4 linked regions of the Pelodiscus sinensis genome follow. The protein of the gene in region 4 binds, or shares a complex with, the protein of the main gene of each other region. Links are inferred from orthologs where the notes say so. Each region holds a gene or a part of one and is shown on either strand. Other genes may lie near its edges.

Evidence for each region.
Region 1: SNRPE (region 4) and GPKOW share a complex: the UniProt entries of both Homo sapiens proteins name them as parts of the minor spliceosome. The link is inferred for Pelodiscus sinensis from reciprocal best matches to the Homo sapiens genes SNRPE and GPKOW.
Region 2: SNRPE (region 4) and ARMC7 share a complex: the UniProt entries of both Homo sapiens proteins name them as parts of the minor spliceosome. The link is inferred for Pelodiscus sinensis from reciprocal best matches to the Homo sapiens genes SNRPE and ARMC7.
Region 3: SNRPE (region 4) and DHX16 share a complex: the UniProt entries of both Homo sapiens proteins name them as parts of the minor spliceosome. The link is inferred for Pelodiscus sinensis from reciprocal best matches to the Homo sapiens genes SNRPE and DHX16.

The regions. Positions count from the first base shown.
Region 1 is NW_027465877.1:101,388-108,899, reverse strand, and holds the start of GPKOW (G-patch domain and KOW motifs-containing protein), read right to left. Parts: upstream 3,013-7,512; 5' UTR 2,940-3,012; coding exon 2,794-2,939; intron 2,176-2,793; coding exon 2,027-2,175; intron 1,921-2,026; coding exon 1,781-1,920; intron 1,641-1,780; coding exon 1,534-1,640; intron 1,349-1,533; coding exon 1,156-1,348; intron 1,032-1,155; coding exon 899-1,031; intron 805-898; coding exon 672-804; intron 99-671; coding exon 1-98. Other genes in the region: membrane-associated guanylate kinase, WW and PDZ domain-containing protein 1-like, read left to right, coding at 6,605-6,669, 7,002-7,075, 7,244-7,512. UniProt on the Homo sapiens protein: RNA-binding protein involved in pre-mRNA splicing. As a component of the minor spliceosome, involved in the splicing of U12-type introns in pre-mRNAs.
Region 2 is NC_134730.1:12,490,094-12,497,662, forward strand, and holds the start of ARMC7 (armadillo repeat-containing protein 7), read right to left. Parts: upstream 3,006-7,569; 5' UTR 2,878-3,005; intron 1,681-2,877; 5' UTR 1,677-1,680; coding exon 1,586-1,676; intron 1,415-1,585; coding exon 1,271-1,414; intron 1-1,270. UniProt on the Homo sapiens protein: As a component of the minor spliceosome, involved in the splicing of U12-type introns in pre-mRNAs.
Region 3 is NC_134742.1:11,515,136-11,522,188, reverse strand, and holds the start of DHX16 (pre-mRNA-splicing factor ATP-dependent RNA helicase DHX16), read left to right. Parts: upstream 1-4,042; 5' UTR 4,043-4,377; coding exon 4,378-4,668; intron 4,669-6,015; exon of another isoform or gene 6,016-6,111; coding exon of another isoform or gene 6,112-6,144; intron 6,145-6,447; coding exon 6,448-6,689; intron 6,690-6,809; coding exon 6,810-6,972; intron 6,973-7,053. UniProt on the Homo sapiens protein: Required for pre-mRNA splicing as a component of the spliceosome. Contributes to pre-mRNA splicing after spliceosome formation and prior to the first transesterification reaction.
Region 4 is NC_134737.1:8,527,981-8,534,842, forward strand, and holds the start of SNRPE (small nuclear ribonucleoprotein E), read right to left. Parts: upstream 3,005-6,862; 5' UTR 2,876-3,004; coding exon 2,822-2,875; intron 2,066-2,821; coding exon 2,039-2,065; intron 1-2,038. UniProt on the Homo sapiens protein: Plays a role in pre-mRNA splicing as a core component of the spliceosomal U1, U2, U4 and U5 small nuclear ribonucleoproteins (snRNPs), the building blocks of the spliceosome.

The sequences.
Region 1 (7,512 bases), on a different chromosome or scaffold from region 4:
TGTCCACGAAGCGAACCCGCAGGTCTCGCCGCAGCCAGTGGGGGGTGCGGGAGGACGATAAGCTGCTGCCTTTGCTCTGCTTCCCAGCCTGGGGGGCGCTGAGGAGAACAGGCAGTCAGGAGCAGTGCTGGGGGGGGCACCGTGCTGCGAGAAGCGGGGGGGGGGGGGGGGGGCTGGGGGCACCGTGCTTGGCGAAGGGGCACAGTGTTTCATCAAAGGCACTTGAGTTGCACTGGCACCAGGGTGTCCGGGCCACACGCCAGCTTGGGGAATCCTCCTCTGGGCCGTGAGACAGCACCCACCTCAGAGGTGGCCGCATTCCATGTGGCTGTTCCCCACCTGCCCTGCCCCAGAGGCGGCTGCATCTCGGCACCAAGCAAGCCGTGCCCAGGCAGTGTTCTACGTGGCTGTTCCCCACCTGCCCTGCCCCAGAGGCGGCTGCATCTCGGCACCAAGCAAGCCGTGCCCAGGCAGTGTTCTATGTGGCTGTTCCCCACCTGCCCTGCCCCAGAGGCGGCTGCATCTCGGCACCAAGCAAGCCGTGCCCAGGCAGTGTTCTATGTGGCTGTTCCCCACCTGCCCTGCCCCAGAGGTGGCTGCATCTCGGCACCAAGCAAGCCGTGCCCAGGCAGCATTATCCGTGGCTGTTCCCCACCGTCCCAGGTCTCTACCTCTCCGAGGCTGCCTGTTTCCGTTTTCTGTCCTTCTTTTCCCCTGTGTCCTGGGGGACCGTGGTGGCCAGAGCCTCAGTAGGCTCATTTCTCTGCTTTTCCTCTTTTTCCTTCTGGGCTTGGCTTAAGCGGCCTGTGAAGGGGATTGGAGAGAAAAGGGGAGTGAGGAGGGGACGGGGGAGGCGGGCGGCGGGGGGGGTGTGGCTGGGAGCAGTCATGTGACTCACTCAGATCCTTGGCTAGCTTCTCGTACTCCTTCTGGGTCACGGGCCGCAGGACGTGCTGACTGATGGTGACCGTTTTATCCCCGATGGCCAGTTTCACCATCACCCGGGCGTTATCGGGGTCTACGCCCTCGATCTGGGGACAGGGAGAGAAAAGAGAACGAGGGGTGAGCCTTCTGCTTCCAGGGGGCATCGGCTCCCACCCGGCCCCAGGGCAGGGACAGGCTGGCTCGGGGGCCAAGGAATGGGGGGGCACTCACCTTCCCATAGAGGTCTCTGTGGGGCCCAGCCATGATCAGCACAGCGCCCCCTGCCACCAGCCCCAGCGGCTCCTCCTCGCCCGGCTTGGGGGGCTGAGGGCGGCCAGCCGGCTGCAGGTCCTGGATGGCCGAGCGGTCAGCTCCCAGCCCCAGCCCCTTGGGGCGCAGCTGGCACTCCAGCGGCTTCACGTCCCTAAAGGGGGGAAGGGTTATTTGGGGACCCGCCTCTGAAAGCATATCACCCCCCCAGCTGCTGAGCTAGGACTCCTTCCCCCATCACCCTCCTCCAACCTACCAGCCCCTACAGTAACCTGGTCCACAGCCTTTCCAAAATCTCCCTGCCCCGCCCCCCATCCCTCTGCCCCCCAGGTCACTCACTGCTTGAAGGTGCGTCCGATGCCCTCGCCCGCTTTCCAGCCCATGCCCCGCAGCATGGCAACGCCATAGGCCTCCACCGGCACCACCTCATAATCCGCCTCCGTCGACTGCAGGGCAAGAAGGGCAGGAGAGTCGTTAACCTGCGGAACCACCCGCCACAGGCATTGGGACACGTAGCTCGGAGCCGCAAGAGGGGGCTGGCGCTGGGGCTCCAGGGGAAGCCGTGGGCTCGTCGGAGGGCTCTTACCGATTCCGGCCGCAGGCTCACGTCCACCCGGTCCCCATCCTCGTACCCCTCGGGGACGCGGTTCTGCATGAGCAGGGGGATGGCCAGCTTGGGGTCGGCCTTGGAGCCACTCTCCCACCGCTCCTGGGACTGCCGGCTCTCTGCAAAGCACAGGCACCGTCAGGAGCCGGACGCCGGGGTCCCCGCTCAGGGGGCGGGAACTAGTGTGTGCGGGGGGGGGACTCCTGGGGTCCCTGCCTCGCTCACCCTCGATCAGCTCCCTCACGGCCTGGGACTCCACCCCATCATCGGCCGGCGGGTCTGGGGCCCCCACGGGGGGCGTCGCCGGCTTCTTCCATTGGTTGCGCTGGATCAGGGGGATGACGAGCGGCTTGGAGGGCGGGACTGGCCGGAGGCTGAGAGCCAGAGAGAAACCATCCCGTTGCCGTGGGATACCCAGAGTGCACCACTCCCATTCCCCCCCCCTCCGCTACCCTGGCTCCGCCCACTGCCCCATCCCAAGGGCCTGCCCCACAGAGGCCCCACCCACTACCCTGAGCCTCTTCCTTCTCACCCACTGGATACAGACCCTGCCTCACACCAATCACCCATGGCCCCTCCCCAGGACACGCCCCCTCCAGCCCATATAGCCCCTCCCCGGACACGCCCCCTCCAACCCATGTAGCCCCTCCCCCGGACACGCCCCCTCCAGCCCATATAGCCCCTCCCCGGACACGCCCCCTCCAACCCATGTAGCCCCTCCCCCGGACACGCCCCCTCCAGCCCATATAGCCCCTCCCCCGGACACGCCCCCTCCAGCCCTATAGTCCCTCCCCCGGACACGCCCCCTCCAGCCCTATAGTCCCTCCCCCGGACACGCCCCCTCCAGCCCTATAGTCCCTCCCCCAGACACGCCCTCTCCAGCCCACATGGCCCCTCCCCCAGGCACCTGGTCGATCTTGCTCACGTGCGCAGGCCGAGCAGCCCCGCCCCCCCGGGGGGCGCTGACTCCCGCGCATGCGCACTGCTCTCACCTGCGCAGCTCGCTCCCCTCCACGGCGCTGATGAAATCGGGCTCCGGGTCGGCCCCGCCCTCCCCCGCGAGCCGCCTGCGCGCGACCGTGCGCGTGAATCCGAACGAGACCGGCCGCGGGGCCGGGGGGCCGCCGTCCGACGCCATCTTGCCGCCGCGCGCCGCGCAAGGCTTCACGGGAGTTGTAGTCACCGCCGCGCGCAAGGCCTCGCGGGAGCTGTAGTTCCAAGCTGGCCCGCCGGGCCTCATGGGGGTTATAGACCCGCCCCCACGCGTAGCATCATGGGGGATGTAGTGCGGGGCGGGGCTGCCCCCCCCACTCCCCTCCCCCACCCTCTGCCCCCACCCCGAGATCCCCCCACCGGGGAATTTTCTGCGTCCTTAAAACCCCCAAATCGTCTGGTTGCTGCCGCAGGGGAGCAGCCCCCCAGGCCCAGCAGCTGCCGTGACGTTCGGACGGGGGGGGTCGCTCCGTGCAGCGAGCATCTCTAAACGCAGCGCACAGCCAACCTGGGGAACTCCCTGCCGCAGGAGGGGTCACAAAGAGCTGGAGACATCCGGGCAGGGTGGGTCCATGGATGGCTGCAGGCCAGGCCGGGCGGGAGGGTGCCCCTGGCCTGTTTCTCCAAGGCTGGGAACAGGGGCTGCAGGGGAGGGATCACGGGACGGTTCCCAGTTGTGAGCCCTCCCTCTGGGGCCCCTGGCGCTGGCCGCTGTCGGCCGACAGGACACTGGGCTGGAGGGACCTTTGCTCTGACCCCGTCTGGCCGGTCTCCTGTTGATATTTGGGGGGGTCCTGAATCAGCCCCCTCCTCTTGGGGGTGGGAGATTAGTGACTCCTGGCACCCTGTGACCCCATGCCAGCTCCAGTGACTTTCAAGCTTGATGCTGAACAGATGTGCTTTGGTTAAGGCCTCTAACCCCCTCCCCCGAGCTAGGGAGAGAACCCAGGAGTCCTGGTTCCCAGCCCACCCTGCTCCTTAGCCCTGTACCTTGTGTGGCCTGGGGAAGAGCCGGGTTTCTACCAGGCCTCGCTTTAGGGGCTGGCGAATGAACGCCTCCCCCATGCCCATGCACTCTCCTTAACGAAGGCTGTATCGAGAAATGACTCTGCTTATTCATTACTAGCCGCCCCGGGGCTGGATTGGAACCGGCACCCCCTGGAGGGGTCAGGCCCCGTGTTCCATATCCCAGGGGGAGATTAGCCACTGTGGTCTCCGATTGGCTGGCTCGTCTGTCCATCTTCCCCTTCTCCCCCTCCCCCAGAGTCTAGCGAAGGAGGAGGAGGTGGAGGGTTACCGGGGCATCAATCCCGTTGCCTTGGAGATCCCCGTTGCTAACCCCAGCAGCATCGGGTACCACTACGGAAGGGGGGGGCCGGAGCAGCGCTAGATGCCGGGGCCACCCCAAGGTAAGGGAGCCCCCCCCAGCCAGCAGAGACGGGGCGGGATCAGCTGTTAATTGGATTGTGCTGGCTGCCGGAGCCGGGGGATGGCGTGGGGAGGGGGGGCGTCCTGAGGGCCTAGGAGGGGAGATCAGCGCTGGCGAGGGGCGGGTGGGGAGCCTAGAGGTTGATTTTGTGATGGACAAGGGGCTGGGGGAGGAACCCGACAGCTCTGGGGGTGGCCTTGGGACAGGCTGGAAGGGGCAGCGGCACGTTCAGCTCCTCCTGGGAGGGCTCTGGCGTGTGGGAAGTAAAGCCCCCTCCCCCCACCAGCTACTCCCCCTCCCCGCTCATGTGACCTTGAGGAGCGACACAGGCACAGGGCGGGCCGGGCCTGGCCCCTCCCGATCTCACCATTCCCTGGGTGCCAGAGTCCCCCAAAAGCCCCATTTCCCAGCTGTGCCAGCCAGGCTTTCCTGCGGGGGGCGGGGGGAGGGCGGATGGTTGCGGGGGGGAGGGGGAGGCTCTCATCTTGCTCGGCCCCTCGGTCGCTTTGGGTCCAACAAACCTGGTTCTCCCTTCCCCCATCCAGGCAGTGAGATGACACCCCTACCCCATGCCTCCTGCGGCGGCCGGGGAGCGGACGGACACCTCTTCCCCGGGTGAAGCCCAGAGGGAAACTGAGGCACGCGGCAATGGAGCCAAGCGATGACGGCCACGGTCCTCTCCCTCCCGGCCCCTTTTGCTGGCCTGCTCGCCACACACCCATGGGAGAGGGGGGGAACCGACCTTTTCCCGGCCTCACGTGTTCCTCAAAATATGCCATGTTGCTTGCGGACTAGAAACAGAGGGCAGGTGCACCCCAGTTCCCCTCCTCCCCCCAGCAGCAACTGGGTAACGTCACCGGCCTCGCAGAGCCTGGGAGGCACCCCCCCCACATCACCCCACCCCTACCTGGAAGAGTCCAAGGCGGTGACATTTCTAGATTACCCCCCAGCACAATGGGTTCTAGATCACCCAGGTGCCCGTTGGGTTCTTGAGGGAGGGAGGCTTTTCTAGATACCCAGCGGCTCCTAGAACAGGGCTTTTCCCAGATCCCTAGTGGCTTCTGGAATACCAATGGCTTTTCTAGAGCCCCCCCCCTTGCAGGTTCTTGAGTGGCAGAGGCCTTTCCAAACCCTCCATGGGCTCTAGAATGGCCGAGAGCATCCCAGGTCTCCAGTGGGGCCTAGATCAAAGGAATTTGCTGAGATCCCTGGTGGGTTCTAGAGCAGCAGAGGTTTTTCTGGATCCCACCTGGGTTCTTGAACAATAGAGTTCCTTCCAGATTCCCTCTGAGACCGTTTTCCTGGCCCCTGGCCCTTCCTCTCGCTCCAGAAGCTGCAGCCGTCCCTTCATGACTCAGTTGGCCCCCCGCCTGGTTGCCCCAGGGGTTCCCCTTCTGCGGCGGGGGAGTTTGTGCATCTGTCAGCCTCTCTTCTGCCTGTTGCCCTGCCCATAGCAGTACCCCCTGCCACGGTGGGTCTGTCCCCCACATCTCCCCACCTTACTGCTCCCTCCCCGGACCCGTTCCTGCCAGGCTCCTTCTCCCTCCCCTCGGGCAAGGGGGCTACCCCCACTTCCTGCTTTCGCAGAACCTGCCCCCTGCCCCGGGTCCATCACAGCCGAGCCTCCTAATCAGCCCCCCAGTTGGCTGATGGAGTTCATCCAGCGCTCCCGGGGCCAGTGTGGGGAGGATGGCCAGTCACCAGGGGCGCTGGGGCCCAGAGCCATGTCCTAGACCCCCAGCGCGATGGAGACCAGCCCTGGCTCCCCAAGGGGTTCTAGAGAGACCTGGGCAGCGCCAGATCTCAGTCACTGCCTGCGCCCCCGGAGCGAGCTCTCCTGTAGGTTCCAGAGTGGGTGGGCGGGCGAGATCCCTTCTAGAGCCCAGCGAGTTCTGGAGCCAAGGGAGCCAGCCCTCGGGCCCACAGCTGGGCTGATCCAAGAGAGGGGGTGGGAGCCCGGGCAGAGGGAGGAGTGATTCCCCCCAGGCCGGTGTTGTGGGGCACGGCCGCCCTCCGGGCCCCAAGTGCCTCTCCGCCACCCTCGTGACTCTAGGCAGGCAGGAGAGAAGAGGCGCACGTGGGGCGGAGGGGCCGGGCAGGGGGCTTTGGTGGGCAGTCAGGCCTGGGCACTGGGGTCCCATGCTTGGGGGGCAGAGCAGGGCCGGGCAGGGCGCTGGGCAGTGCCATGCTGCAGGCCGGTTCCATGTGGCTGTTACCTTCCTGCCCCACCCCAGACATGGCTGCATCGGGGGAGGTTTGAACTCTCCTGTTCTCTCCCCTCACAGGGCTGAGGCAGGCCGCACTCAGGGGTCTCGGGATCCACTCCTCAGCAAGCAGAACCCCCCACTTGGGGTCCCAGGGGCGAGGCCCCCGGCTGCACCATGGGCGGGGCTGGGCCCCAACTCCAGCACTGGGGGGCGGAGCAAAGCGAAGCCTGTGGCATCAGGTGACTCCCCCCCCCTTGGATTGGAGGGACTGGCACTTCTGGGGGGCTGAGGAGGTGGGATGCTCAGGGATGAGCTGGGGCTAAGGGGCTGCCTTTGGTTGGGGAGGTACCGGGGAGCAATTGGGGGGATCCAGGAGGTGGGGGCTCTGGGGGAAAGGGGGAGACTATGGGGGGGAGGGGAAGTATCCTAGGAGGAGAGCCTAGGGGGGAGGGGGATATAGGGGAGAGATCCCAGGGGAAGGGGGGAACATGGGGGATCCTAGGGGGGAGAAAGCTGCCCGAGAAAGGGACCTCCCCCCAAATATGCACCCCGCCTATTCTCCGTCCCCCAGCTGCAGTGCCCACCAGAGCCCCCACAGGGCCCCTGAACCCCTGATCCCGGCAGCAGTGGCACCGGCGGCTGGAGGTAAGCGGGGGGCACTGGGGGCACCCCCCTCCCCACCCCCTGCCAACCGGAGGGCTCTGCCACCTGCCCTGGGTGCCCGGGAGGTGCTGGGGGCGCCACGCTCGGCCCTGCCGCCCCTGCCCCGGGCACTGGGGGGGCCCCCTTAACTCTGCCCTCTGTGCCCCGCAGTGAACGTGGTGGTGGTGGTGGACGGGAGCTGCATCCTGCACTACACCCACCGGGACGCCCCCTGCCGCTGCTCCTGCCGGCTTCCTGCCTCGCCCAGCCCCCCCCTCGCCCGCCGCCCCCGGGGCCTGGGGGTGCGCTGCTGTGCAGAGCTCTGCCTAGGGGAGGAGGAGGAGCGGGCGGAGCAGAGGCCCCGCCCTGCCCCACCGCCCGGCCGGCTGACGCCAGTGCCCCTGCCCCGCAGCGCCACGGGGCCCTGGTTCACGGTGGAG
Region 2 (7,569 bases), on a different chromosome or scaffold from region 4:
AATAGTTGTCTCATTACAATAAGGACGTGGGTTAAAAACTCTCATTAAGCTACACTTTGTGTTTCACTATTTAGAGATTTATCTAATCTTACACAGTTTAATTTTCAGCACTGCAGCATGTTAGTAGAGTGAAGGGGAATGTTGCCTTAATATGAAATAATTCACCTCAAGTCCTATTGAATACTAGAACTGGAAGGGACCTTGAGAGGTCAAGTCCAGTCCCTCTGTCTTCCTAGCAGGAGCAAGCACCATCTAGATCAATGTTTCCCAGTTTTATTTGGCCATGGTACCCTTTTAAACTCGAAAGAATTTTACAGAACCCCTAATAACAATCTTTTATATATGGAGCTGAAAAAGTAGACCACAAATAAGTTAGGATAATAAAAAAATGCTAAACAAGTTCATGAGATCAACATTTAGTTTAATTGCACATATTTAAAAACAAAACACATTGAGAATGAGTGAGTATGGGTATTTACGGTGGTATATAACAGGCGATCACACCACTGTCTGACTGTGTGCACAGCGTAATGACATTACACAAGGACACTTATCGTGGCAAACACAAATGAAAATTGTTTTCAATAAAATTCATAAATGCTTAAATTTTTTTTAAATCATAAAATATAATTGTAATGGAATTTTCTCATGGAACCCTTATTTTCACTTTGCAGAACCCCGGGGTTCCGCGGAACACCATTGGGAAAATACTGATCTAGATCATCCCTGAGAGACGTCTGTCACAACTGCTCTTAAATCTCTCTAATGAGGGAGATCCCTCCCTAGGCAATTTATTCCAGTGCTTAACCACCCTAACAATTAGGAAGCTTTCCTATCCTGATCTCACACCTGTTTCAGCTGTTCTGTATAGATTTTTATACTCCTATCATCGCTGTAGTATCTGAGGGCATTAAGCAGTTTGAGCAACATCTGCCATAGATGGTTTGTCATGGAGTTGAGCCTCTCCCCCAAGTTCAATTCAGGGCCATAACAAGGGCGAGGTGAGTGAGGCACTTGCCTCGGGTGCATGGCTGAGGCGGCACAGAAAAGACAGCTACTACGCGGTCTTCGCTCATGCCTTGCGCCATATCAGTACCCCCGCCCTCGCTGAGGACGGTCTTGCCTTAGGCGCCCAATTAGCTAGTTACAACTGGCTCAGTTGGACTACAGAATCAAAGCAGCAAGGCTGACATCCCCTGATCCATCAAAATCCAACTAGTGCTTTCAACTACTGTTGTTCATTTTACAAAGTTTTAAGGCTACTCCTTACCAACTGCAAACTCCACGAGGGTCTCATTGTCCTCTGTGAGCATATCGAGAAACAGGTCAAGGACTTGAAGCTGTCGGAGATATTCGTAGTTCTTGGGATCATAGGCGAAGTTGGCTAGATTAGCCAGTACTTGCTCCTTGGCTTCTGCAATATATATGCATTTAGGTGAAGAATGAGGCAGCTGAGGTGGGCTGGGCTGTCCCATTTCTGAAGAAAACCTCTCTCCCCCCCCCCCCCCAATAACTGATGAGCCAGCTATGATCCTGACATTTGGAATATACTTTAATAATAATAAAAAAAGGCTTATAAGTTCACCTGGAGACTCTGTTACTTGGAACTCTGTGACCAGTGCTTGCAAGTATTCAAGCCGCCCCAGGTCCAGTGGATCCTGCTGCTTTTGAGACATGGTGCTAAAGAGAGGAAAATTAAGTTTTGTTCAAAATAGTGTCCTGTATGACCTCAGTTTCACTGCAAGGTTAATAAAAACATTCTGAGAAGTATAGACTAGGCAATTGGTTTTCTTTTCTCTCCCTTCACATTCACTGAGGGGACTGAAAGTGGTAGTATAACCAGCCCTGTCAAGGTTTGAATCAGAAACATGCTCACTACAACTGGGTTTATCTTATTTGCACTGAGAATCATTGGCAATTGTCCCATGTTTCATCAAGCATTGTTGCAGCTCCATTACATCAGTCTCCACTATAAGTCGCCCCAGCATATATCTGTTCCACACTAAAGTCATTGACTCTTGTAGGAACTGATGCATTAAGAGTCCTCCCATTCCCCGCTCTTAAGTCACGCACCCTCCCCCTCCCCAAAAAAACAACAACCAATTTGTGCAAATGGAAGTCAGTCACCAGGAATTGCTTAAGTTGTTTCGCTATAAGTTTAGTTTTTTGGAATGTATCTTGGACTTAGGACAGCCTGTAGCATAGGCTAGCCATGAGTTTTTACTGTAGTCTTTTAACCCTTTTACGCTGGTAATCCCCCAGGCTACGTCTAGACTGGCATGATTTTGCGGAAATACTTTTAACGGAAAAACTTTTCCGTTAAAAGTATTTCCGCAAAAGCACGTCTAGTTTGGCAAGGATGCTTTTGCGCAAAAGCATCCATGGCCACTCAAGATGTGATTTTGCGCAAGAAAGCCCCGATCGCCATTTTAGCCATCGGGGCTTTTTTGCGCAAAACAGTTCTTCCCTGTCTACACTGTTCCTCTTGCGCAAGTATTCTTATACAAGAGGGCTTTTTCCCGAGCAGGAGCGTGGAAGAATTTGTGCAAGAAGCACTGATTTTATCCATTACAAAGTCCGTGCTCTTGTGCAAATTCAAGGGGCCAGTGTAGACAGCTGGCAAGATTTTGCAGCAAAAGCTTGTCAGTCTAGACGCACCCCCAATGCTCACTTTACACTGTAGCTTCCATCATTGCCACCTTTGGTGAATGGGCGGCTTGCAAGGGGCCGCGGCGCACTATTGCCAAACCCAGCCATTCCACAACTGCACCAAAACCACGAGCTCTCCCACTGAAAAGCACAAGCTGTAGCCACCCTGCACCGCGCGCCCGGGGCTGCAGGGCGACCCTGCTCTGCAACCCAGCGCCAAGCTCGCACCGTCTCCAGCGCTGTCCCGTCCCGGGCCGCTCCAGCCTCCCTCTGGCCTCGCGCGCAGCGCCTCGCCAGCCCCTCCCCGCGCCTGCGCACGCGGGGAGAGAGGGGCGGAACGTCGGGGGGCCACTCGAAAGAAGAGCGGAAATGGTGAGAGCGGCCGGACGTGACGTATGAGGAGGGTGGCGGGGGGGGGGGTCCTGTTTGTGTCCCGCTATGGGTCGTATGTCGGCGCGGAAGCGGCTGGCGAAGCCCCTCCTCTTCGGCAGCATCCTGTGTGCGCTGGCCGCCGCCTTCGTGCACAGGTGGGGGGGGCTTTGGGTGGTAGGGCTCAGCTGGGGGGGGACCCTGGAGGCCTTGGCCGGCAGAGCTTGGGGGGCTCATCTGGGGGGGGGACACTAGGGGTCTTGGCCGGCAGAGCTTGGGGGGCTCATCTGGGGGGGGGACACTAGGGGTCTTGGCCGGCAGAGCTTGGGGGGGTTCATCTGGGGGGGACACTAGGGGTCTTGGCCGGCAGAGCTTGGGGGGGCTCATCTGGGGGGGGACACTAGGGGTCTTGGCCGGCAGAGCTTGGGGGGGTTCATCTGGGGGGGACACTAGGGGTCTTGGCTGGCAGAGCTTGGGGGGGCTCATCTGGGGGGACACACTAGGGGTCTTGGCCGGCAGAGCTTGGGGGGGCTCATCTGGGGGGGGACACTAGGGGTCTTGGCCGGCAGAGCTTGGGGGGGGCTCATCTGGGGGGGGACCCTGGGGACTTTGGCTGGGGGGGCTCATCTGAGTGGGGGGACACTGGGGGCCTTGGCCGGCAGAGCTTGGGGGGCTCATCTGGGGGGGGGACCCTGGCGGCCTTGGCCGGCAGACCTTGGGGGGGCTCATCTGGGTGGGGGAGGTTCTGGGGGCCCTTGGTTGGAAGATCTTGTGGGAACCTGGCCAGAAGGTCTTGGGGGAACATTGGGGGACATGGCTGGCAGGGCTTTGGTGGGGGACTCAGGTGAGTAAGAGGAACTGGGAAGTTTCAGGGGGGCTCAGTGCACTGCAGTTACTGTCTTTCTCTGTCTCAGGCACCGCTTCTTCCCTGAGGTGGAGGAGCTCCGTGCCAGGGAGCACGAGCACCATGAGAAGATGCGTCAAGAGGTGTTGCAGAGGCGCCAGAAGCAGCTGGCTGAGCTGGCAGAGAGGAAAGCTTCCTCCTAGGCTGAGAGGGCTCCAGGGAGCCCAGCTCACCCCTTCAGTAGGGATGGGGAGCTGTGTTGGGAAGTGAAGAATATATACAACTCTTGCACATGGCACACAGTGCGCACAGACTGAGTGAAGCTTCCATCGGCTTGGCAGGGATATTGGCTGGAGTTTCCTCCCCCAACTTGCTTGATATGCATGAGTGATGGCTTCAGAAATCCCCGTGTTGGTATTGTGATCTACTAGTCAGATCAGGGCTCTGGCAGTCTGGGATAAGTTCAAGTCCTAGCTCTGCCAGTGAATTGCATTGTGTGATGTTGGACGAGTCACTGTCATTCAGCTTCTCTGGGGTTGTCTTCACTGGGAAAAGCAGTTGAGTTTAGATTGAACTTAGCTAATATGTTAGCCGAGCCTAACTTAAATTAGACCCTTTTCCTAGTTTAGACATATTTAGCTAATCAAATTGCGGCCTAGAAGATGGTATCCTGCATCTATTCTAGGGGAAAGAAGGTCAGGTTTTGCTAACTTGTATTAACCAAGCGTGATCTGAACTTGACCACGCTGCCTAATCAAGAAACACCCTCTGTGCCTCAGCTTTCCTAGCTGTAAAGTGGGGTAACAGTGCTTGCCCGCTTGTATGAAGCATTTTGAGATCCATGGATGAATGGTGCTATAAGTGCTAAAATAATTGACTGGTGACAATATACCTGAGTTTATTGTCACTTAAGGTGAGAAGTGTCTAGAAATCTGGATCTCTCTGATGTAACATTTTATATCTTATCTAAAGTGATTTTTGTAATCTGTTGTTTCTGCCATGATAGTGTTGCACACTACCAAATAAGACTTTAGCTACAGCTTTTGTCTGATAAATCATCCTTAAGAGTGATTGAAGAGCTTAATTTTAAGCATAAAATGACTGATCCCTAAGTGCATCCCATTTGTTATTGCTTTGTGTGGTATTCACAGCAGGCTTTGTATTGTTGATTGAAATATGAAGGGACCACTCTCCCTTGAAATTACAGATGTAAATACACATTATGGTATTTGTTTAACTCTTTCTGTAATAAAAAACAATGTGTTTTAAAGCAGGAATTTTTTTTTTTGCACTCTAGGAAGGGCCTAAATATCCCCAAATAAGACTTTCACTCATTATTTTTGTATTTCCTTATAATCAGGGCTTGCCAAGTGGTGGCAAGCCCCACTCGCCAGCCATGCCGTTCTGCGCATGCGCAGATCGCTCTGCGCCGGCTCTTCCGAGTTGTAATCTACTCGCCATAGGCGAGTAGATTACATTATTTGTCGAGACCTGCTTATAATAATATTTTTTTATATCCCCTATTCCAGGGGTGGGCAATAATTTTTGATGGGGTACCACTCCAAAATTTTGGAAAGTGGTCGAGGGCTGCACTCTTCCATGTTCTTGATGGAGGAGATGTGGGGTCTAAGATGGAGGTTGGGTGCAGAAGGGAGCTTGGGGTAAAGGATTGGGGTGCATGAGGGAGAATGGAGTCTGGGAGGGAGTTTGGGTGAAGAAGGCAGTAGTGACCCAGGGAAGGGGACTAGAGTGCAGGGTAGGGATGTAAGTGACTAGTCGAGTATCCAATAAGCAAATGTTTATCGGATAGTCAACTTGACTAGTTGCTTTCCCCCCACCCCTTTTGCTGCCTCTATCAGAGTCGACTGCTTCAGTCTCCGCTGTGGGTTCCCACCACCCGCGTTTCTGCTTTTGACATGTAAATCATTAGACTTGCTGACTTGCAAAACAATGTTAAAAGAAATTACATGGGATACCTATCACTGCAGTGGGTAAAAGTCTGTGTAGGAATAAAGTTTTTAAATATATCATGAGACTGAGAACCTTGGGAAGAGAAAAGAGAGAGAAAACATACAGGATGGCTGTGTCTACGTTGGCACCCTTTTCCGGAAAAGGGATGCTAATGAGACAAGTCGGAATTGCAAATGCCGCGGGGGATTTAAATATCCCCCGCGGCATTTGCATGAACATGGCTGCCGCTTTTTTCCGGCTCGGGGCTTTGCCGGAGAAAAGCGCCAGTCTAGACGGGATCTTTCGGAAAATAAAGCCTTTTCCGGAAGATCCCTTATTCCTGATTTTAAGAGGAATAAGGGATCTTCCGGAAAAGGCTTTATTTTCTGAAAGATCCCGTCTAGACTGGCGCTTTTCTCCAGCAAAGCCCCGAGCCGGAAAAAAGCGGCAGCCATGTTCATGCAAATGTCGTGGGGGATATTTAAATCCCTCGCAGCATTTGCAATTCCGACTTGTCTCATTAGCATCCCTTTTCTGGAAAAGGGTGCCAATGTAGACATAGCCGATATGTTGGAGAACAGAAAATGAAATAAGGAAGGAAAGAGGAATAGGGCAGAGTGCAGGGAAAGAGAATGAAAAGACTAAACAGCTTATGTACATCAAGACAAATTATTTATGAAAGGAAAAGTGGAGTGAAGCCAGTAATGGGAGGAACATCTAGCAAAGAACAGAAGATAACTCTGTGCCAGAGTACAATGCCCTGATCTAAATACAAAGTTGCACTGCATACATTTAAATCAAACATAGATGTGATTCTAACCAATTCACTTGAACTGGTGTCACTGGTGTCAGCACTGTTAAATGATTTTAAACCTGGTTGTTTCTGTTTAGCTGACACCTGTATTATTTATTTATATTGTATTTACTTGTATTACTTGTAAAATTACAGGTGTGAGCTAAATTTTATAAAAACGGTCTTAAACAGATGCCTACATAGGTTTATATTAGTTCTTTAAACTAATTTTTAAAGCAATTCAGTGTAAATCGGGGCAGCTTTGATAGAAAAAGTTTAGGCTTGGTCTACACTATGAGTTTAGGTCGAACCTAGGGAGGGTATGTGGTCCTGCTGTGAAGGCAGGGGACTGGACTCAATGACTTTTCAAGGTCCCTTCCAGTTCTATATGAGAGGTATATCTCCTTAATTTTTTTTTTAGCTATGTTAGGTCTATTTTCTAAACACCAACCCCATTCTGTTGACTTTAAAGGCTGTTAAAGATGATTTCTGAACTCCTCTTTGGCAAGAGGAGTAATGCTAAATTTGACATGGGGGGATGGTTTACAGGCCAACACTTAATTCAGTGGGTACCTTATTAAGAGCAACATACATGACTCATGTTGCTGTCTTGTCATTCACAAAACTAGCTTTCAAAGCCTCTATGATTCTCACTGCTCCTTTATGTATTCACCTAACCTTTAATTATGAACAGCCAGAAACCAGGGGAATGAGATCTGCCTCAACCCTCCCATCCCACCGGAAAAATGTCCCCCCTTTACTTTCACAGATATTGTGGACTACACAGAAAGTTGCTACATCAATGGGAATGTTGCTTTTGCTGTCAGTCAGTAAATTGTGAAACGTTTCCTTCAAATGTTCAAAACCACATTCTGTCACTTTTCTGCATTTGCTCAGCCTGTAGTTGAACTACTCCTTACTGCTCTCCAGGCTGCCTGTGTACGGCTTCATGAGCCATGAAGGA
Region 3 (7,053 bases), on a different chromosome or scaffold from region 4:
CTACGACTGGGGCGGAGCCACTTGAGACGGAGGCGGAGCCAGTCAGTATTTGGAGGGTGGGGCAAATTGCTATTTTGCAGGGGTGGGAGGGCCATTTGTAAGTAGGCTGGAGCTAGTTACAGGTGGGGCCATTTTTGTATACTTGAGGCAAGCCTAGTTGTGTTGGGGGGGAACGGGGCAGTATGTGGTTCGAGGGTGGGAGCCAGAGCCAGCCAGGATTTGGGGAGGAGACTGGAGGTGGGGGACGACGAAGTGATGGAGGCAGAGGGCGGGCCAAAGGGGTGACTTCCTGTTTTAGCCATCCCACTTCCTCTTTAGGTGGAGCAATTTCACCTCCTTTCATGGGGGCGGGAGGAGGTTGTGCCATGTGACTGTGGACTTGGATGAGTGTGTGGGGACGAGCGTGAGCGTGGAGGGAATGGGGAATTCAGTGTGTGGGGAGGGCACGGAGTGAGTGGGGGCGGGCCTGGATGGATGGATGAATGAGCCCCTCCTCCGTGAGTTTAGTTCATTCTCGTTATGACTATTTTTTTTCCTTTGCACTGGGGGAAGCAGTCGCGTCCTCGCCCAGGAACGAGGGGGCGAGTGAACGAACAAATGCGGCACGCTCCTCCCCCCGCCCAGAGCAGCCCTGTGGTCACGGGGGCGAGACGTCCAGGGGCAATAACCCCCCCTCCTGTTTAACCCTCTCAGCAGGAGGCGTCTGTGCCCTGGCGGGGGGAGGGTGCCGCAGCCGGCCAGTTCCAATAGCGTTTTTTTATATGTGTTATAATAATAATAAAACGGAGAGATGTTGCACGTGAAGCCGCCTCCCTATCATCTGTGGCCCACGTGGTCTGGGAGGGGTGTGGGAGCCATCAGGACCTGGTGCCCCTATACCTTTTGGAGGTGATCTAGATCCTGCTGTGAGGGCGGGGGACTGGACTCGATAACCTCTCGAGGTCCCTTCCAGTTCTATGATTCTGTGAACGGGGGGGGGGTGCTACCGGGACCTCGCTCCCAGATGCCACAGGAGGGGAGGATGGGTGCTGTCAGGACCTAGCTCCCATGTACCCCTTGAGGGTGAGGGGTGGATGCTGCCGGGACCTGGCTCCCATGTACCCCTTGGAGATGAGGGTTTGCCCTGCCAGATCCTGTGCGCCCCCTGGGGGTTGCAGCTCTGCCCTGTAGGCACCTGAGCCCCCATTCACTCTCTCCCGCCCCCTAGTGGTGAGGCATTGACAAGGCGGGATCCCCCATTCCCGCCTCTCCCGCTCACCCCCAACACTCAGACCTCCACACTGGGGAAGACCGTGGCTCTTTCCTGCCCCCTGGTGGCGTGGGTGCTGCACTGCCTCCTAGCCCACGTTGCCCCAGCCTCCGAGCTCCGCACTACGTTGCTGCAGCCCCACCGAGGCTGAAATCCCTGCTAGTGTGTCAGAAGGAGAAAATCCCACATGTCCAGGCAACCTTCAGCTGCCTCTGCATCAATGCGCCCTTGATTTTTTTTCCAGCCCTGTGCGGAGTAAATTTTGTTCTATGCACCAAGGCATGTGCAGATGTGCACCACCAGTAGAAACACATGCTGCCGGCTGAGGGCACTCTGCTATTCTGGGCGGCATTTGACTCGCTCTTGGGTGGCCACCCAAGTGCCCAGCTTATAGGGAACGCTGCTTTGCAGCTCCCCCCCCCCCCCATAGAAGAACAGTGCTTGAGACAGGACTACAATGAGAATGAAGCTTTGCTGCATGATGCCGTTAAGCTAGAGACAATGACATTACGTGGAGGAAGTCAACTCATATGCCTGGAAATACAGATAAGAGCTGGCTCTGTAAAAACGATGATGATCCTACTTTTGAAGGCAACTCAGACTCTGGTCAATATGGCAGGAAGCCAGCGGAGGTTGTCTGCTGGGACATACGGTAATGTGCCTACTGAAAAATGTGACTCATGGGTCTAGAAGCAGAGTTGACTCATGCCTGGAAATAAGGTAAACAATCAGATGGGACGCTGATTTGTCTGTAAATATGATAAAAAACGTAGTCGGGAAGTTGACTCAAATGCTAGTAAATACAGAACCTGTGAACTGGGGAGGCAGCTGAATAGGTTTGTAACGGTGCTAAAAGAGAGAGGCCGGAAACTGACTCATACCCAGTTAACTATGGTAAAAATCTGATGGGCAGACACGCAGCTAGTTACAGAAAGGAACCAAATTAGGGCAGCAGCTCCTAAGTGTGAAAACATTGGCTTGTGCAAGGGAAGTTGGGGTTAGAGAAGGGACAGCCAGATAGCTATCATGACAGTGAGCATGAGGACAACTGCAGCTCCTATACCAATAAAAACGAGGAGCAGGACCATGGTAGCTGCTCATGTGCAGGTTATAGGGTGCACAGACTGGAGCTGTGGCTCAGACGTGAGCAGTAATGGTGAAGGGCCGAGCTGAGGGGGCAGCTTGTGCATGGGTCATTATGGTACAGGTCCCAATAGTATTTGAGGCTTGTACACTAGTAATTATGGTAGAGGATTGACTTGGAAGGGAGGACCCACACAGTGACCACTACACTGGTGCAGAGCCCGTTCTGGATGTATCCTGTCCTCTATTAATTGCAGTTCAGATCCATGTTAGAGCCCATGCATGGTTAATTATGGTACAGACCTGAATTGGTTCTGCAGCTTGTATTACAGTAATTACGGTGCAGGCCAACATTACACAAGATCGCTGATAATGGCACATTCCTAATGTGTGGATTACACCTGCACGTACAGTAAAGAACCTGACTTCTCCATGTGCTGCCTCCCCACCAAACTCCTGTGAGGATCAGCCGGACTGGGCTGTGCTTCTGCCTGCAGCTGGTAGGATGGTAACTGAACTGGATCGATTCATGGGGAATTGGTCCATCAATGGCTATTAGCCAGGATGGGCAGGGGTGGTGTCCTGAGCCTGTTTGCCAGAAGCTGGGAATGGGTGACAGAGAAGGGATCACTTGACGATTCCCTGTTCTGTTCACTCCCCCCTGGGGCACCTGGCATTAGCCACTGTCGGCAGACAGGACACTGGGCTAGATGGACCTTTGGTCTGACCCAGCCTGGCCGTTCTTATATTCTTACAGTAAAAATCCCACCCCAGCGTGGGGTGTGTGTATATCCATAATGACAGCATGAGGTGAAAACTGGAGGGGGCATGAACTCCTGTAAGTACGGTAAATGGATAGGTGTGTGGCGGGATGCCATTAGGGTAGCATGTCTGGTTGGATGGAGGGGAGGCTCATGTTATGGTCATTATGGAAGCCAGTCTGGCTGTATGATGAGCAATCCTGTAATTACGGTAAAAGGGGCCCGGCCCGAGAAGGAGAGACTCATATTGCTATCTTAAGGGATCTGTTTGGAGAAGGTGCAGAATTACAGAGTCAGCTGGAGAAGGGGAGGCTCGTAATCCTGTAATTACGGTAGGCTATGTGGCCGGAGAAGGGGCAACTAATTTTCTCACAATTACGGTAAGGTGTCCGCTGAGATGGAGAGGCTCATATTGCTATATTTATGGTAAGAAGCCCGGCTGGAGATGGAAAACTCCTACTCCCGTCATTACGGTAGAGGGGCCTGCAGAAGGGGAGGCTCATATTGTTATAATTACGGTAAGAACTCCTATTCCTGTCATTACGGTAGAGGGGCCTGCAGAAGGGGAGGCTCATATTGTTATAATTACGGTAAGAACTCCTATTCCTGTCATTACGGTAGAGGGGCCTGCAGAAGGGGAGGCTCATATTGTTATAATTACGGTAAGAACTCCTACTCCCGTCATTACGGTAGAGGCAGAAGGGGAGGCTCATATTGTTATAATTACGGTAAGAACTCCTATTCCTGTCATTACGGTAGAGGGGCCTGCAGAAGGGGAGGCTCATATTGTTATAATTACGGTAAGAACTCCTATTCCTGTCATTATGGTAGAGGGGCCTGCAGAAGGGGAGGCTCATATTGTTATAATTACGGTAAGAACGCCGGCTGGAGATGGAGAGACTCCTATTCCTGTCATTACGGTAGAGGGGCCTGCAGAAGGGGAGGCTCATATTGTTATAATTACGGTAAGAACGCCGGCTGGAGATGGAGAGACTCCTATTCCTGTCATTACGGTAAAGAGCCAGCTGGAGAGGCGCTTATTGCTTTAATTACGGTAAAAAGTCTGGCTGGAGGCGGGGCCGCTCATATTCCAGACACTACGGTAAGAAGTCGCCCGCAAAAGTGGAGGCGCGTATCCCTGTCCTTACGACCAGAGAGTTTTGCTCGCGGTGGATATTCCGTTCATTACGGTAGCGGGCGAAGGCGGGGGCGAGCGTGGGTTGTTGAAGTCTGACGCCGCTCATAGACCGGTCATTACGGTACAGGGCGTTACGCCGGCGCGCTATGACGATGGCGGAAGCCGTTGGCCCGGGCGGTCACGTGGCCCGGAAGCGGGGTACGGTGGCCCACGGGGGGGTCCGAAGCGGGGGCAGGATGGCGGCGCTGGAGCGCTGGGTGTCGGGCGAGCTGCACGCGCTGCTGGGGCTGAGCGAGCGGCACGTGGTCGCGTTCCTGCTCGGCCTGGCCCGGCGCAGCCGCAGTGCCGACGAGCTGCTGAGCCGCCTGGAGGAGACCGAGACGCTGCGCGTGAGCGAGCCGGCCGTGCGCGCCTTCGCCCGGCGCCTCTGGGAGCAGGTGGGCGGGGCCACACCGCGGGGGGCGGGGCCATTAGAACGGAGGGGCGGGGCCACAGTGGGGGAGGGGCCATTGGGCTGAGGGGGTCACACTGGAGGGGGAGGGGCTAGTGGGGGAGGGGGGTCACAGGAGGGGGAGGGGCTAGTGGGGCTGAGGGGGGGTCACACTGGAGGGGGAGGGGCTAGTGGGGCTGAGGGGGGGTCACACAGGAGGGGGAGGGGCTAGTGGGGGTCACACAGGAGGGGGAGGGGCTAGTGGGGCTGAAGGGGGGTCACACTGGAGGGGGAGGGGCTAGTGGGGCTGAGGGGGGGTCACACAGGAGGGGGAGGGGCTAGTGGGGCTGAGGGGGGGTCACACTGGAGGGGGAGGGGCTAGTGGGGCTGAGGGGGGGTCACACAGGAGGGGGAGGGGCTAGTGGGGGTCACACAGGAGGGGGAGGGGCTAGTGGGGCTGAAGGGGGGTCACACTGGAGGGGGAGGGGCTAGTGGGGCTGAGGGGGGGTCACACAGGAGGGGGAGGGGCTAGTGGGGCTGAGGGGGGGTCACACAGGAGGGGGAGGGGCTAGTGGGGGTCACACAGGAGGGGGAGGGGCTAGTGGGGCTAAGGGGGGTCACACAGGAGGGGGTGGGGCTAGTGGGGGTCACACAGGAGGGGGAGGGGCTAGTGGGGCTAAGGGGGGGTCACACAGGAGGGGGTGGGGCTAGTGGGGGGTCACACAGGAGGGGGAGGGGCTAGTGGGGCTGAGGGGGTCACACAGGAGGGGGAGGGGCTAGTGGGGGTCACACAGGAGGGGGAGGGGCTAGTGGGGGTCACACAGGAGGGGGTGGGGCTAGTGGGGGTCACACAGGAGGGGGAGGGGCTAGTGGGGCTGAGGGGGGTCACACAGGAGGGGGTGGGGGTCACACAGGAGGGGGAGGGGCTAGTGGGGCTGAGGGGGGTCACACAGGAGGGGGAGGGGCTAGTGGGGCTAAGGGGGGGTCACACAGGAGGGGGAGGGGCTAGTGGGGCTGAGGGGGGGTCACAGGAGGGGGAGGGGCTAGTGGGGCTGAGGGGGGTCACACAGGAGGGGGTGGGGCTAGTGGGGGTCACACAGGAGGGGGAGGGGCTAGTGGGGCTGAAGGGGGGTCACACAGGAGGGAGGGGTCACTGGAGGGGGAGGGGCCAGGGGGCGGGGGGGGTCACATAGGAGGGGGAGGGGCTAGTGGGGCTGGGGGGGGTCACTGGAGGGGAAGGGGCCAGTGGGGTGGGGAGGGTCACACAGGAGGGGGAGGAGCTAGTAGGGATGAGGAGGGGTCACACTGGAGGGGCTGAGTAGGGCCAGAGGGCGGAGTGTCAGGCAAGGGGCTAAGGGCCTGGGGAGAGGAGGAGACATGCTGGGGGGCAGGAGAGGGAGTGGGGCTGAAAGGGAAGGGCCTGTGAACAAAGGGAGCAGGAGCAGTAGGGATGGAGAAGGCGCCAAGGGGGGAGTCCTGTGAGGTTAGCGGGCGAGGCCTATAGGGGATGGGGCAGGGCTAGCCCTAGCAGTGTCCTGTGGAGGTTGGGGGGGGGAGGCAGGGGAGGAGGATTTAGGGAGAGGTTACCATGGCAGGAACTACATGGGAAGGAGAAAGCTTAGCAGAATGGGAGGAGCCTTTGGGGAGGGGGAGGAGCCAACTGTAGAGGCGGGACCTGTGTGCTAAGTGGGAGGAGCTAAAGGAGAAAGCAGAAGGGGGGGGGCAGGGAGCGAGCACTGTCTGTGCAGTATTTCTAACCCCACCCCTGTCTCTGCCCTGCTCTTAGGTCCCACGTTCAGCTCCGCAGGAGCGTCCGGCCCGGGTGGCCGAGCGGGAGGCCCTCGCCCTGCAGCAGAAGAACCGCTCGTACCAGCTGCTGGAGGACAGCGAGGAGGAGGAGAGAGATGCGGGGGGGGCCCCAGGCTCTAAGCACTGCCCCGAGGGGAGAAAACACAAGAAGCGGCGCAAACACCTGCGCCGGAAGCAGGAGGAGGCGTCAGAGGAGGAGAACGAGGCAGAGCGGGAGCCGTGAGTGTCGCCTCCGCTGGGGGATCTTAGAGGGTGGGGCGAGGGAGAGTCCCCTGCGCTGGGGCTCCCCGGGGCTGGCTAGTGCCCTGACTGTGGTCTCTGGCCCTTCCCCGGATGCAGGGAGCCGGCCCCGGCCCTGGAGGGAAAGGACTCGGAGGACGAATGGGACCGCAGCGAGCGGGAACGCCTGCAGGACCTGGAGGAGCGCGACGCCTTTGCCGAACGGGTCAAGCGCAAGGACAAGGAGCGGACCAGGAATATCCTGGAGCGGTCGGACAAGAAGGTCAGAGCCTGCCCTGCGACCAGCACCCATCCCCAACCCTATCCTTGCTGCTGGATCCCTCCTTGGTGCCACCCCACACCT
Region 4 (6,862 bases):
AAAAAAGCGCCCCCCCTCCCCCCCAAAAAAACCATGGCACCTTTAAATTTCACACTCCCTTCCACATGGCAGGGGAAGAATGTCCCAAGTGGCTTTCCAGCTGAGAAACTGAAAATACCAGACATTTTACTGGGGGGGGGGGGGGGGGGGGGGGGGGGGGGGCGGGGCAAAGCCAGGAGTTTGGATTGTGCCTCAGGGCAGGGGATTGGGGTGCAGGGTCTGGGAGGAGAGTCTGGGTGAAGATATCAGAGTGGGAGTAGCTGGGGGACCGGACACTTACCAGCGAGACACGCTGCTCTCCTGTTTCTCCCACAGGACCTTCCTGGCCATGTGCTTGGGGATTGGTAGGTTCCCGCAGCTGCCATTGTCCATATCCGGACAATGGGCTTGTGCGGGGGGGGGGGGGGGGGAAGCAGCCATGAGGGACCCTCCCCTGCCGGCTCACAGCTCCTGCTCCACAAAGGGCCCCGCTACGACTGTTTTGCATGGGGCGGGGGGAAGAACCCGACGAGCGTGGGGCTTGCTCTGGATACTGAAGCGCCTACGCGGGCTGCCTGTTGCAGTGGGTGCAGGGCTCAAGCCTCCAAAGCGCCATGTCGGGCTCCCTCGTGGGTCTCAGGCTGCCGATCCTGCTCTAAAAGCAGGGGTGAATGTGAGCAGTTTTAAAACGCTGGCGCAGGCACACGTAAATGCCACCGTGGGCGCCATGACGTCCGCGGGCACCCTGTTGGGGACCACGGCTCTAAACCTACATCAGAAGTTAACATGTAACTCAGTGGGCTATCACAAGGTAGCTTTTAGGGACCAAATTAATACTGACCTGACATACGTTAGGACACTACAGTAATTTTTCTACCCAAGGCTTATCAGAAAATAGGTCAATCTAGAGAGAAATGCATTTTCTTCTGATAGATTTGGGTACAAGGTCCAAATCATGGAATCTGCTATTTCACCTTAATGAGAGCACTGACAGCCTAGTAAGCAAAAGCTCTTTGCTCCATCCACAAAGCAGCATAACACCAAAAAATACAACCAGTGATAATGACAAACTAAATCTTCAGCAGTTTAAGGGGGCTCTGGGAATTGCTCAAGTTGCAAACTAGATACAAGTCAAAAGTTGTTTACTTCATGCAGATGTAAAAAACCTCAAAAGATGCAAAACCCTTGCATCCTGATCAGATTCTAATACAAATCATTTAACTCAGCGCAGAAAAGAATATTTCTATTTTTTTACTTGATAGTGGAAAACATCTCCCCAGCCCTTATGGTGGTATAGCACACTGGTGTGTAGGAACTTATTTTTCCAGATAGGTATGACATGGCCAACTTTCAACACAATACAGCAGGATTTATGGCTTTAACAGTTAACACATTCATTCATTATAATCATTCAGTGTTTGTTCCCCACCACAAACACACACACACTATTATGCCATGTGCCAATAATCTTCATCTTCTATTTAGCTGGGTTACAACGTCACCAAATTACACACAGTTGCTTCAACAGTCTCTGGAAAAAATATCTATCTTAAGAAACTACGGCAATGACTGTCACAGAAACACTTAAGGGCTAATATGTTAAATATTATCAGTATAATTGTTAGCTAGAAATGGAAGAAAATGATCACTTCATGAATCAGAGAGCAATGCTTGTATAAAGAAGCCTACAGTAGACAAATATAAACCAAACAGCATAAAAAATGCTATACGCTATCGCTTCCAAATAAAAGCTAAATATTACAGAAACCTCACAGTGTTGGAAAAAGCAAGTTTAATTTACATTTTTTCCTGACTGCAATTTCTCCACACATCAGCACTACTGGGTTAATGTCATGTGGAGAGGCCACTAATCTCAAAAGAGGTCAACAGCAAATGCTACAAATCTGCTTGGAAATCTGATGCACTTCCCCCATCCCAAAAAGATGATGCATCAGATACAAACCTCAGTGGCACCATAGTGGCTAAATACATGCTTTGGGTCATATTTACAATCAGACAATGAACAGGCATGCAATGAGAATTAGACAGTATGACTTACGTTCTGCAGGTATCTGAAGATGAGGTTCTGTAATACAGCACTTAAGGAAAAGCACAGAAGCAGCACCGACTGCAACATGGGTCACTGTAACAACTAATCTGGTTATCGCCAAAGCTTCCATTTTAAAAGTGCTTTACTTTTAGGCAAATAAAAATTAACAATTTCTGGAGGCGGGGGGGCGATGCCGAGTTGGCATTTAACCCACCTGTCCCCCTTCTATCCTGTTCTACCCTTCCCAGTGCTCCCTAAGGCCAGAGGTGACAGAACGACCTCTAGGGATAAATCCCTGCAGCTCGCCAGCAGCCAGCGAAACCTACAGGCGCCTTCCAGCCGGGAGTTAAACCCAACAGCGCCGGGGATGGGCTCTGAGACCCGGGAAGTGCCCCCCCCCCCCCCCGCCGCACACCCAGGGCCTATCCCCGGCGCGTGCTGAGAGGAGACCTCGATTCCCAGCACGTGATACTGGGTGAGGGGCTGGGAGCTGCATGGCAGCCCCCCCCCCGGCTCCAGCGCCCAGCCCCCCCCCCCCCGGCTCCAGCGCCCAGCCCCGCTGCGAGCACCCTGCTCATCGCCTCATTCTCCCCCCTCGTCTCGCCCCCCCCCCCCGGGCCAGCCCGCTCAACCCCCCCCCCCACCGGGCTCCTCAGACCCCTCATTCTCCCCCGGAAGCCCCCCCCACTCATCTCGCCCCCCCCCCCCGCACCAGCCCGCTCAACCCCCCCCCCTCAGGCTCCCGGCCCCCCCCGACTCCGCCAGCCCGGCCCCGCCCCCGCGGCAGGATACGATGGGCTGCACCATCACCTTCTGCACCTTCTGGCCCTGCCCGCGATACGCCATGGCCGCGAGCGCGCCTCAGCCACCCGGCAGGAGAGAGAGAGAGACGAGGAGAAACCGTTACCCGCCGCGGCCCCCACGCGCCCGCCGCAGCAGCTGCCCGGCTTCCGCTCCAGACCGGAAGCGCGGCTGCCCCCGCGGAACGCCGGGAAGCTTCCCCGGCCGCTCTGGCACGCTGGGAGGACTGCCGTCCCGCCTCTACTGCTCCCGCCTCTCTCTGTCTCTTGTCCCACTGCGGGCGAGGCCCCCAGCCTGGAGCTGCGGCTGCGCAGAGCAGGCCAGGCAGGGGTGCCAGACAGAGAAGCCACGTGCTGAAGGCGGCTGGTTGCAGGAATAACTCATGCCATGCCCCCCCCCCCCACCCTGAGAGTAAATGTTCTGCAATAGACACACACCGGCCTTGGACTAGACTAAGACACTGGAGGATGCTTGCAGGGCCTGCACCTAGAGCCCCGCTGCAGCATTGGTACCGCAGACACCAGGCCCCGCTGCCTTCGATCCGGGGTGCGGATACCCCCCGGGATCTGCGCATTTGCAGGGTTCTAGATACAAAGACTGTCCCCCGCACCCATCGGCCAAAAATTAGTCGCAGAGATCTGCAGATTTGCAACGCTCAGCATAGTGACCCTATGGCCCCCAAAATCCGGGACTGTCCCAAGTTTTAATGTTTTTTCCAGGTGTCCCGACACCCCCCAGATTTGTCCCGGAAAAAAGTCCCTCTCTGCTTCTTTTCCTCCCTCCTAGCCCTCCCTAAGGAGGAGTCAGGGATGCTTCTGGGACTTCCCTGTGAATGAGGATCCAGCCAATAGAAGAAGCAGGAGGTTGTGCCCGTAGGAGCCTGGGAAGCCGAGTAAGTGGCTGGGCTGCCAGCTGGGACAGACAAGGGGAGGAAAGGGGGGAAGCAGTGCGGTGAAGAGCATCTCTGCTGGGGGTGTGTGAAGAAGAGCACCCCCCATGGCCCGGTGGAAGGGGAGGGGCAGAGAGCAGCACCCCACCTCATGGCTGGGCTTGGCTAGACGGGGCCAAATGGTGGAAAAACAATTGGAAAAAGCTACTCAAATTGTGGCGTGCAATTTGCATAGCTTTTTCAGAAAAAAACCCTGATAGGCCCAAATCCACTCCTGCGTCCACCGTTCCTCCTGCACCCTCCTCCTTCACCACACACTGTCCTCTCCCCCTAGCCAGATACTCTACTCCCAGCCTGTTGCGGCACCCTACCTGCCACCCACACCTTGCAACCTCTCCCTCTTCTTCCCCCCACCTCTCTCCCAGATCCTGCACCCCATCGCTATCCCATTCTCTGGTGGCCCTGTCTCACATACTGAACCCCTGATTTTTGTTCCCAACCCAGAAACTAAGGGGGCTCCATAAAATCTTCCAGAAAAGTTGGGGCTGGAACGCTGGAGGAATGTGGTGTCTCAGTTGGGGGTCACGTTGGTGAGGGTTCGGGGTTTTTGAAGTTCTTTTGCTTCTCATGTCTGTGGTCCCCAACTGACTTTTCTGTGGCTCAATGGCCCCTCACCCAAAAAATGTTCCCCATGCCGGCCATAAATAATCTAAACTTAAAAAACAACAAATGGTCTGATAGCACTTCAGCTTGAGAATAAAGGACTGAGGAGAGTGAGGTGTGGGAGAATAAAACTGAGCTCTGGGGAAATGTTTGGTTAGAGTTTCCCCTACAATATGTACCAGTTCCGACTTACATACAAATTCAACTTAAGAACAAACCTACAGTCCCTATCTTGTACGTAACCCAGGGACTGCCTGTAGTTAACAGTGAGATTCCATTAGCAACTGGTGGTCTATGGAAAGGTTTACATTGGCCATTGGACCCCCTGGCTCAACAAGGTTGAAAATGACTGAAATAGAGGTACCCCTGGCCTCTCTCCCGAGAGACATCCCCAGTCTCCCTGTTGCTCCAGAAGAGCCCCCAGAGAGATTGGGTCTGTTACCACAGTGGTGAAATCAGTCACTCAGGTGTGGATGATGGACAGACTTTTTGTGAGTTTTCCTCATCCAAGCAGTTAATGATTTAAACCATGTGTTAATATGCCAGGTGAAAATACTTGGTGCCTCCATAGAGGGACAAGTTGGACGTTAGGAAAAAGTTCCTAACTGTCAGGGTGGTGAAACACTGGGATAAATTTCCTAGGGAGGTTGTGGAATCTCCATCTCTGCAGATATTTAAGAGTAGGCTAGATAAATGTCTAACAGGGATGGTCTAGATAGTACGTGGTCCTGCCATGAGGGCAGGGGACTGGACTCGATGACCTCTCGAGGTCCCTTCCAGTCCTAGTATTCTATGATCTCTCTCCAGAGAGGTTGTGTCATGGTGAACAAGCCCTTTGTGAGCTCTGTGAAGAGGTGAGATGTTTTGACTTCCAGCTTCAAAGGAATTTGTTCTGTCTTTGGGCTACACATTGCCTAGACTTCAATGGAGCTAGCTGAGAACGCATTTCTTAGTTATTCTGACACAAAGTGAAACCTGTGCTAAAGACCCCATGTCTAGTGAGAGAAAGTGCTGCTGTCTGAAGTAAATTCAAAGTTTCTCCAAATTTCTTCAGTTTGCCTCTACCAGGCAGTGGGGCTTTGACTGATTGGTCCCTTATATTTTTGAAGGATGACTAAATATTACCCAGATCTTCTTAGGTAATATCAACAGATTGCTTTGGGCCCAATCCTAGCTTAAAATTAAATTGGATCAGGCGCTTTGTAAGCAGGTTGGGAAGTGGTCTCATTTGGCAATTATTATTAGCTATTATTTACGTAATATAGGCATTGCCATCATGGTATTGGCATAGACATTTCTCAGTAGCTTTACATATAAAATAGCCTAGCCCCATTGATATAATGGGCAATGTACCTTTCAAGCAGAGGTAATGAGGATTCATGACATAGTCTTCCCCACCCTGTAATTGTCATGGTTCGGTATTGTCATTCTGGCTTGTGGAAATGGAGGACACTTCATAATTTTGCAGTTACTTCAAAAAATGCGGTTGCAGTCCATTTCATTAGGGATGTAAATTCCCATTCATCAGTTAACCGGTTAATGTTAGGTCACAGTGGGGCTGCCGCTGGTTCCCAGCCCCTTCTGGAGCAGCCCTTGTCTATAGCAAGCTGGACTCCCCATGGAGAGAGGTGCAGTCCATGCCTTTGGGGCCCCCGAGTTCTCCAGAGACAATGGCTGATTTGGATGAGCGTAACCCCTATCTGCAGCAGGCCCTCTATGAGCCTGGAGCAGCCCCCTTCCTAGCTCCAGCCCCCTCTGATTACCAGTTAATTGGAGCCAGTAGGAAACATCCATTAAGAGGACTATGGAAATTGTCCCATGAAATTGTGGGATAGTTCTGGATGATTCCCAGGTTCTGAGTCAAATGGGGCTGCATCTACACTGCAAAGTAATAGGTCTTATTGGATCTCATCTTGAATCGAGGTTAGACCCCTAGCACTGCACTATCATGGGACCCTAGGTCTATGCAATTGCAGTATAGTTGCATGGGAGACTTCTATGGGGCCCAAATAGATCCCTCTAGGTAGAGAATGGTGGGAGGAGTGCTTTAGAGGGGTCACATGACACCCTTTACTTCCAGTGATATATTCATCTTGACCCTGGAAATACTATCCCAGGGGTGGGATTTCCTGTGGCAGGTAGGTAGGGCCTAAGGGGTCAGGGGCCCCGCTAATGGTTTCAGGGGGTGTGGCCAAGGTGTCCCTATTTTTGATTCAGAAAATATGGTCACTGTTAAATTCCACTCACTTCACCCTACATCCTCTCCCGGACAACCGTGCAATGGATAACATGGATGTTCAGATCAAGATGAACATTTGCATGGTAGGCACAAAAAGGATGCCTGCCTTGCTATCCTTTTGTTCCTCTCCTTTAAAGTAGATTTGTCCCCAGTTCTAGGAGGCCATACATATATGTCATTACTGCAGTTTGTCAAGTGTATGCTGGAATAATACAACCACTCTCACTCTCAGAAGACTGTG